Linked DNA regions of Arabidopsis thaliana. The protein of the gene in region 1 interacts with the protein of each later gene in a pairwise test. Each region holds a gene or a part of one and is shown on either strand. Other genes may lie near its edges.

Region 1 (5,901 bases):
ACCCATCGTCGGAACATTCCCGAATCTCCAACCGTTTTTCCCCCTACGTTTAACCGGTAAACTGTCTCAAAAGCCGTTGAATTTTCTATGTGAAAGTCAACGGAACTACCAACGTTAGTTATAACGTCGTCAAATCCTCCCTTTGAGTAAAACCGGTTAGGTATGGAGACAATCTCGATTCCGTTAACGAAAGCTAAGGAATCTAAAGACGGCGTGAAAGTGAGATTCAACGTTTGGTAAACCGGAATAATAAACTCTTTGATTATAAACTCCGTTTGCGGTTTAGATGCTTTTACCGTTAAGTCAGCGCTGAAGTTGTTCAAGAGAGTGAAGCCGTTGACTTTGACGGAGAAGAAGGATTTGACGGCGTTGAATTGGGAACCGTATCGGGTCGGGTAAAAGTATAACCGGAGAAAATTTGAACCGGGAGTGACTGGAAAACTGTAGGTGAACTCAGATCGGAATATTCGAGCTGTCATGTACGGAATCTGAGAAACTCCTGATTCTTGGTATGACGCTTGTGCAGTGAACGAAGCGTTGACTAAATTTGACGATAGAATTTTCTGATTTTCCGCCGTCCAGTTTCGGCCACTAACGTCGACGTTGTTTGAAGTGTCGCCGCAGTTGAAGAGAAAGACATCGGTGGGTTCATACGTCGACGTTGCTCCTTCTCCTACTATGGGGGTGGAAACGAGAATAGAGAATATTAACAAAGCGTGACGGATCATTTGGTATTGAAGTTGAAAAAGAAAAGATTAGGTGTTTTTCATTTTTCATAACTAGGTTATGACTTAAGAGCCACGTGAAATGGCGAAGGAACTTATTTAACAATTTTGTTTTTTTTAACGACTGTATTTAACAAAATTTTATATTGCAAAACTTTTTTGATTGCATTTTGAGACAAATGTCAAACATATTCTCAACCGTTACGAACCGCCAAAAAAAAATCCAACTTTATCTCTGGTCAAATAAAAGCAAGTATATAATATCTAAATTTAAGCTGCTAAATAATCATCAAAATGTAATTTAAATACAATAATGTGTTTATTCAACAATTATACATACACAAATATATATCAACCCTAACCAGAATGTGATACTTGTTTACCAAGCCATCAAATCTACCGTGCTTTAGGTTCATTGATCTCCGAAAATACTCCCCAACTCGAACCACTCCTCTCATCACCAACAACTAGAACAGAGTCATCGGTCGTGGTCGATTTCCCAACGTGTCCTGTAGTCCTACTAAACAAGTCATCTTCTCCGTCCGTGGTCGTACCAACTTCACCACTTGGCATTAGATCCAGAGACTCCACGTTGTCATTCTTCTTCTTAGCAGTCTCGTGAAGCTGAAGAGCAAACTCAAGCGCCCAAACAACGTCGTTCATCGGTGGCCGTTCCATACCACGGTCTTGAACACATCTAATGGCTATCTCACAAAACTTCTCCATCGAGGTCGAAGTGATATCAGCGGTTAAATCTGAGTCAATGATCTGATCAACGGTTCTTTTATTGAAATTTGACTTCACCCATCGGATCAAATCTGCTTGTTCCGGTGGAACACTTTGCATTCTGATCGGTCTACAGCACAAAACCTCCAACAGAACAACTCCAAAAGAGTACACGTCGGATTTTTCGGTCAAGATTTGACGGCGATAGTACTCGGGATCCAAGTAACCAAACGTTCCTTTAACGACGGTGGAGACATGCGTTTGAGAAGCACTAGTAGGACCAACTCTTGATAAACCAAAGTCAGATACTTTAGCGACGAAGTTCTCATCGAGAAGTATGTTTGTGGTTTTGATGTCTCTATGTATGATCGTGTACTTGGCTCCAGTATGAAGATACTGTAATCCACGAGCTGCTCCAATGCAAATCTCTAGCCTTCGTTTCCATGACAATGGAGGATCAGAGGCCTTGTCTCTCCTGAAAAGATGATCTTTAAGTGTACCATGTGGCATATACTCATAGACAAGTACCATCTCGTTGTCGTCATCGCAATATCCGATTAGAGAGACGAGGTGTACATGTCGAAGCTTTGAAAGCATCTCGAGCTCTGTATCGAACTCTTTAGCACCTTGGTTCGATGTAATTTCCAGCCGTTTAACCGCAACAAGTGTGGCTCCACCGTCTATTCGTCCTTTGTAGACAGAACCAAACCCGCCTACTCCTATGATTAGTTTTTCCTCGAAATCATTTGTGGCGGATTTGATTTCGTAGATGGAGAATCGACGGCAGAGATCTGATGGAAGAGATGAGGCAGATTTTGTATTTGTAGAGCCTGTCCCGTGCAGAAGAGGACCCCATGACGAGTTCGTAGAAGGCTTGTTCGTGGTATCTACACTAGACTCGTTGCTCTTCTTCTTTCTCTTCATAACAACGAGGACAACAACAAGAACAAAAAACGCTAGCGCAACTGCAGAACCAACCACTGCAATTATTATTGGCAAAACATGTGATGACTTGCCTTTTCCTTTTAGTGGCGTTATAGATTGTGGTGGTGGACTTAGTTGAGGAATTGGATTAAGCCCCGCAAGATTACCATCAGAATTACTCAGCTTGAGAATCTCTACACCACTCAAAATAGCGTCGTAATAGGTTGGATAGTCCTCTTTGTAAGGTGTCAAGTCAACTCGAAGACTAGGTCTCTGGCTAGTTCCGTCGGCGTCGACAAGTACCTTGAAATCTAGATACATCGGTAGCCGAAAACCACCACTCAGCCGAAACACGTCCATTTCACGCATGGCCAGTTGATATCCGAAGAAGATGGAGAAGACGCGGTCACCCGTTTTGTTGACTTCCGGTTGCGTCTCACAGAAATGAAGCCTCACTATATAGGCAAACCCGGCATCGACTTCAAAGAGCCACGTCAGGTTGAAATTCAGGTTTAGCTCAGGACTGTCTTTGTTCCCCATCAGGCGACACGTCGTGTATACATCTTCCGGCGCAACGTACGCGGGAGTTTTATCCGTGTAGTTGATCTTTACACCTGTTATATTCGGAATGGCTCCCGAATTAATACCGAGTAAGAAACCTTCATCGGAAAGCCAACGCCGGAACATTCCCGAATCTCCGACGTCGCCCACCACTTTTCCACCTACGTTTACCCGATAAACGGTCTCGAAAGCCGTGGAGTTGTCTATCTCGAAGTCAACGTCCCTACCAACGTTTCTTACAACGTCGTCAAATCCTCCCTTTGAGTAAAACCGGTCAGGCATGGAGATAATCTCGATTCCGTTAACGAAAGCTAATGAATTCGGAGAGGGCGTGAACGTGAGATCAAGAGTTTGGTTAACCGGAACGATAAACTCTTTGATTAGAGAACTTGACTCCGGTATGGAAGCTTTTACACTGAAGTTATGCAAGAGAGTGAAACGGTTGACGTTGACGGAGAAGAAGGATTTAACGGCGTCGAAATCGGATCCGTAACGGGTCGGATAAAAGTATAACCGGAGGAATTTCCAGCCGGGAGAGACTGGAAAACTGTAAGTGAAATCATATCGGAAAATCCTAGCTTTCAAGTACGGCACTTGAGGAATCCCTGATTCTTGGTATGACGCAGATGAAGTGAACGACGCGTCGTCAACTGCATTCGATGACATAAATTTCGGATTCTCCGTCGTCCAGTTCCGGCCACTGTAGTCCATGTTGTTGGAGGTATCGCCGCAATTGATGAGAAAGACATCAGTGGGCTCATACGACGCCGTTGCGTCGACGACGGCGGAAACGAGAATAGTGAAAATTACTAAAACGTGACAGATCATTGGAATTGATAAAAAAAAAAAAACGAGAAGAGAATTGAAGAATTTTGAGAAGATAAGAGACTAATGGGTGGTGAGTGACTCACTTGGTCAACCATTGACTTTTCAGGTCAAGCAAAACAAGAAGGTATCGATGAAGTTTTTCTTCCGTGGGGTCAATTTGCCTAAGGTCCAAGAATTAAAAGATGACGCAAATTGACTCATTTGTTGTTTTAGTCTACCCTCAGACTCAAACCCAAAAAAGCTCGACTCTTTTAGAGCTTTGGGTTCATTTTAGAGGGTTCCAGTAAATAGGTTAAAATCAAACCACATGCTATGAGCTTCAGTTAGTTAGACTTAGCAAGCCTAGAAGATATAATTGTAAATTTGTAATGTAAAATTTGGTTGTGGAAAATAACTAATATTGTTTATATTGAGGTTTGTTTTGCAGTGTTTTTTACAATTGAGATATAAAAAGAGATTGATTTTTAATTATAAAACTATCAAAAATATTTTTCAGTATCTTAGTTTTAAAGTTTTATATTTATTTGTGAATATATTACTTATTTACATATACGTTTATTTTAAAAGAGGAAAATTATGTTTATAACAATGATTGAAAGCTTTATTAAGATAGAAAATAAGCTAAGAACTTAGATAGCTCATGAAAAACTTATTGTGCAAAGAACCTAAAAGAGATGAAACATTAATTGAAGAACACCAATCTTAGTAAAAAAATATATTTGATTTGATATATCATAAAAAGTGTTAAGGAGGAGAGTTAAACCTCAAAGTTACGTCCATTGATTCTCGATACGAACTAAGCTTACTAAAAACCCCTAAGTTTACTACTTGTCTGATTTTGTACATCAATTACCATTCATCGCTTAAGTAAAATAAATAGCGAAGGTTGTTTAAATGGCTAGTTTCAGATAGTATATAAGGATATGAGGTTTTTTATTTCTTTTCTTTGTCATCTAAGTTATATATTGGATTTGTTGTCGAAAGGCTGAGAACATACATCAAAGGACCGAAGAACACGAATAAAACAAAGCCAACATATACATATTAAAATATACTTTGGTATCTCAGGAGAAAAAGCCGAATAAAGAAACTTCGGAGACTAGCAAGAAACACTAAAACAACACGATCTAAAATTAGAATAAGTAGACTACGTACAACACTTAGACATAAACCAATAAAAATCCGAGAACTAAAACAGACTAGAGACACTGAAGGAAAAGCAACAAATCCCGAACACAGCTTCTGAACTTCTCGTCCTTTCTTACTTGCGATTAGTACACTTGAATAATACATTAATACGTAAACTTGCACTTCCATAAGGACATGAGTTCAAAACCCACTTTTGGCATATTATATTTTCTTCACTATTATTATGTTTACCAAATGAATCTTTTTTTGTTTTTGTTTTTTGAGTGTTTCCCTTCAGAGGAGTTTGGTCCTGAATTCTTTAGTTCAGTTTCTGCTTGGGAGACGTACCTTTAAACTTTACCAATTTATTTAATTTTTAAAGAAGTAGTCCACAATTGTATATATATCTAGATAGAGCAACTCTTAGTTTTTATAGAATAATTACTTCGCTGACTTTAAAGAAAATTATTAAGAAACAACACTCAATAATTTGGCAACAAACAGACACCGTACATTTTGTTACAAGCAAGTTATTTCCCAAACGCTTAGAACGACACAAACTGAAACATAGAGAATATATAAGGAGTATGTTACATGCCCTTAGGAAAGCGTTTGCATCTGGTGTAGACAAGACAATTCTTCTTCTTGGCATATTTAACGGCTCCACTACAAGGATTACATGCCTGCTGAGGTCGCAAGACCGGATAGGTTATGTACGACGAACCACCTTTCATCATTGGCGCCGCAAAAGAACTCCAAATCACTTCATCGTCATGGACGGCTGTGAGATTATACCAACCATTTATCACGTTATCGGAGGTTGCTACGGCAAAGAGCAGGAGGAGGAAGAAGAAGACTATTGACTTCATTTCTTCAATTATTTGTTTTTCTGTGGTGTGAGGAGTGATTTGCTTGAGGAGTGATTGCTTTTTGTCGATAATGGATAGGGAACGTAAATATAGGGGTAGACTGATTACTTTGGTTGGTCCATATTTAATACAAAATAATT
Region 2 (4,216 bases), on another chromosome or scaffold:
AACTACTGAGAATCTGATTCGTACAACCGTGCGGAGGATCAAAGATTTGTTTCCTTGTCAGACTGCTTGAACCACCCCCATTTCGGTAATCTATTGGAGAGCTTCAAAAGGGGAGGAGTCAAGAACGAACCTCAAGGAGATTGGTTTTTTACGAGGTTCGGGATTTGACTAGCCCTGGAATAAACCCATTCAAGATGGAAAAAACAACTATCTTTTCCTTTCATTTGAGTCTTTTGTTTCCTTGTCATTGTTTGGACTTGGAACCTTTTGCTATTTCAGTTGAGTCTTTGGTTTCCTTGTCATTGTTGGACTTGGAACCTTTTGTTATTTCATTCGAGTCTTTGGTTTCCTTGTCATTGTTGGACTTGGAAACCTTTTGTTATTTCAGTTGAGTCTGTTTGTTTCCTTGTCATTGTTGGACATGGAACCTTTCGTTGTTTCAGTTGAGTCTGTTTGTTTCCTTGTCATTGTTGGACTTGGAAACCTTTATGAAGTTATTGAGTACTCTTTTTCTCTATTTGAGTTTCAAATTTGTTTTTTGTTTTCTTTCTATTGACTTTAGATCTTCTTCTAGAGTATGGATATTTCTTTTGTATTGTTTTTGTTGTCTATTTCTGTAGTTTGGTTTATCAAAACTTCACACCTTTTCTTCCCAAGACTCTCTGTTTTGCAAGAGAGCTTAAAGAGTTTTTGGCTGTTGCGCGTTGCCTATGGTTTTAGATTGACCAAACCCAACAAGACTAAGAAATCTGTGCTGAACATGTAGACCTTTTGGGAATGGGAATCACAACGTGTGATTTGTCAAGACCCAACAATGTAGACCTTTTGGTGAAGTGAACTGTAAAATATTTTCAGTTTAACTTCATTTAATTTCAAACAAGAACACAGATGACATGATATTGCTAAAAAAACAGGAAGAATACATCACAAAGGTTCAAAATTTTCTGTTTGAAAAGCCAAATCCACCTATAGCAGAAATTCTCAGAGTCAAAAGATACACTTGCTGATCATCAAGTGTACCTCAAGCACGCTTTCTCCTGGCCAAAATAGCAGGTCTCTTGCCAACAGCTCCACCACTTTTGTTGGATTGAGAAAGAAGACCACGAAGAAGAGCTAGAATACCAACACCCATGAATGGCACATACATCATCAACAATTTCTCAGATGCCTTCCCTGATCCTATCATCTCTCCCAGTATAGCAGCCTAATAAGTAATGAATACTCAATATCAGATTCTTCATCACAAGGCATATTAGCAATGAATGCGGAAAGATTCACATTGCAGAACAATAAGTATAAGTTCGATAACGTTACTAATTCTAATAACCATGAAACTAGTCATTCAACATAGTAGAAACTCAAAATCTCTCTCCCTCATCAACATACAATGTTGTGATTTTAGGGAACCAAATGAAATCTTGAATCAAGCATTATACAAATTTCACTAGTCTGCTCCTAGTTCATACTTTGTAATGGTCCAGTTTCACAGACTTTAACATTGATCACCAATAATCATTTCTCCTATAATCTTCATTAATCTCAGATTTCAGATCCATAAATCAACAAAATCTTACTCTAAATCAAACACGTTATATCCAAATTGATCAGAAACAGCGAGATTAAGATCTAAATGTACCATAGAAGTCACGACGGAAGCTCCGTACACCATTGAGGTGGTACCAAACCACGATTTCCCAGCGAGAATTGCGTAGACGTTGACGATTGAGAGCGGCCAAAGAAGCAAAAGCTCATGCCAGACGAGTCCGACTAGGAAATGCGGCTTCTCTTTGACTAGATAATCTCCAAATTCATCAATGTACCAGCGATTCAGATCGACGATAAACGCCGGGAAGATATCGCCGGGAAGACTCGTTTGACCGTCGATAAGCGGCGCAATTACCGCCATGAGAGCAAAGTATAAGAAGAGAACCGCATCGATCAACTTGCAAAATGCTCCCATTTTTTTTCTTCTTCTCCTTCTTCAATGGATTTTGTTTTTCTCTCTGCTTTAATCTGTCGTTGACCGCGGAAACGAAGAGCCGGCTACTTAATAATTGGCCAAATCTAAATTAAAGCGAACCGGTTTAAACGGCTACCATTTTTCCGGTTTGATTCAGTGGTAAATTCGAACACTACCGGGCCTTAGGCCCATAATCTTCCTCGGAGGATGTATATAGTATCCAGAAAAAATAGTCACCCGAAGGACTACACTAATTAAGAGAGCCCATGATCTGTTACAAAATCTTAAGTTCTAAACATTTGAATAAGTTTCACATCCTCTACATAGTCTAGAAAAATGTGAACTCTACGGTTCTAATAACTTTCGACTCTTGAATTTGCAGATGTTTTATTTTTTATTTTTCAGGGAGTCTAAAGACATGATCATTTCAAAATTCCTTATCTCTCACGCCTTGGAGGAATCATATTCGTAAACACACTTGCAAGTTACAACCTTGCATTGCCTTAAGCAAATTCTTTAGCAAGGTACATTTCTTAGTGTTACGTTTTAGATCTTTTAAAATGTTGAGACTACTTGGTATTGAAACCATGACTCAGTTCACTTGTTCGTCTTGCAAGATGGTAGGGAAATTGTTTTGCATTTTTATCTCTATCTATGTAATAAATCTATGTACCTTTCTAAGTGTAATGTTATATCTGCAGTCATTAAACAAATTGTGTAACTCGTTATTATATATCTCACTGTGGAGTTTCGTGATCTTTCGACTGCGAATTCTCAGCTGAACTTTGGCCATCTTTGAGTTTCTTACTGCTCTTCTCCTTAAGCATCTCCTTAATCTCTGCTTCTCTCTTATCAACAACTTTGATCAAATCCTTGAAACTCACTGCTCTCAAACTTTTCCCTCTAGAAGAACCAGCCTCCTCGCTCCTCGCCTGTACTTCATCACTCTCTTCTGGTCTTAACCGTTGGTATTGCCAGAAAACTTTCCAGCAGAAGAGTGTGAGTGCAATGAACCAAACGACGCCACATATTAGGAAGAGTCCCCAGAAACTCTGTACCGATATTTGATAGTTTTCTGTATCTGAAATCTGCATTGTACATTCGTGGTCGTAGGTAAGCCATTTCTTGCGGATTTTCTCGAGTTTTCCTTCTTCAGCCAGTTGCAGGATCGCTGTCGACATGTCCACAGCTAGAGGAGAGTCTCTCTGGAACGCCTGCAAGAATCGAGATCCATTAAGCAAAGTTTTAACAGAGACTGATCTTAAAAAATTGAAGTTGGTTTTCACATACAAATCCCCAGCCTGTCCGAGTGAATTCCTGTCCAACTGTTCGAAACTTGCAGTTGCTGTTTGACAAGAGAGCTTTAATGTAAGGAAGCTCGTCGACAATGGCTGCCACGCCACCGCCTCTGGGACCACGTTGAAGAGCAGAGAGATATTCTTCTTCGTCTTTAAGCGGAATGATTCTTGATGGAGCTATGTTAAGTTCATTGACCAGAAATTTCCACGCAAAGGTACCATCTTGGACTCCAATGGGTTCGTTGCTTGCTATTAAAGTGTCCATTCCTTCTATCCGAGATGTTAGCTGTTGAACGGTGAGGATTGAAGTGAGACTGGCTGTGTAGCTTGAGTTGATGATTAGAACCACAAATAACCATACGAGTAGCACAAACCTTCCCAACGTGCTCACCGTATTCTCCCCTGAAGATCAACAAAGGAAGAAGAATAAAACACCTTGCGACCTTGGTAACAAAAGAAAAGAACCGAGAGTTTCTTCTCTTTGATGTTTTCGTATGATCTTAAATGTAATTGTGTGCATACTGTGAGAGAAGAACATTGTTGAGAAGCTAAACCTGCAATATTGAAGACGAGAAAGGAAGGGGGTAAAGCAAAGCTTTAGCACTTGAGCTTAAACTAATACATATGAGTTTTGTGTCGATTCAATAATTGTATGGAACTAACCAGAAGACTGTAATGATTTGACGCCTAGGAGGTCCGCGGAATTCTTCGTTAAATCGATGTTCAAGAATCCAGATGACGGCTCCAACAAAGAGAAAAAGGGCACCGGTCACAGCCCACATCTCTATAGTGAATGGCTTCAAGAAGGACCAAGGACTAGACTTGGCCCCCTTCACTGGAGCTACCACCACAAGCCCTGATTCTATAAATGGCTGCGTGAAATCTACAAACTTGGTTCTGTTTGTAATGATGGTAACATCCCCAACAGCTACATCGAAAATCTAGAGACATAAATAGA

Evidence for each region. Proteins that work in one complex are often made in the same cells at the same time.
Region 2: the proteins of AT5G38990 (region 1) and AT2G32380 interact in a protein complementation assay, tested with the Arabidopsis thaliana proteins (one large-scale study listed by BioGRID).

Annotation. Positions count from the first base shown.
Region 1 is NC_003076.8:15,606,687-15,612,587, reverse strand, and holds AT5G38990 (Malectin/receptor-like protein kinase family protein), read right to left. Parts: upstream 3,904-5,901; 5' UTR 3,765-3,903; coding exon 1,122-3,764; 3' UTR 924-1,121; downstream 1-923. Other genes in the region: AT5G39000 (Malectin/receptor-like protein kinase family protein), read right to left, coding at 1-728; AT5G38980 (uncharacterized protein), read right to left, coding at 5,483-5,761.
Region 2 is NC_003071.7:13,745,771-13,749,986, forward strand, and holds AT2G32380 (Transmembrane protein 97, Putative), read right to left. Parts: upstream 2,041-4,216; 5' UTR 1,961-2,040; coding exon 1,637-1,960; intron 1,205-1,636; coding exon 1,022-1,204; 3' UTR 796-1,021; downstream 1-795. Other genes in the region: HDG3 (homeodomain GLABROUS 3), read left to right, coding at 1-70; GLR3.5 (glutamate receptor 3.5), read right to left, coding at 2,698-3,174, 3,251-3,660, 3,781-3,812, 3,922-4,199.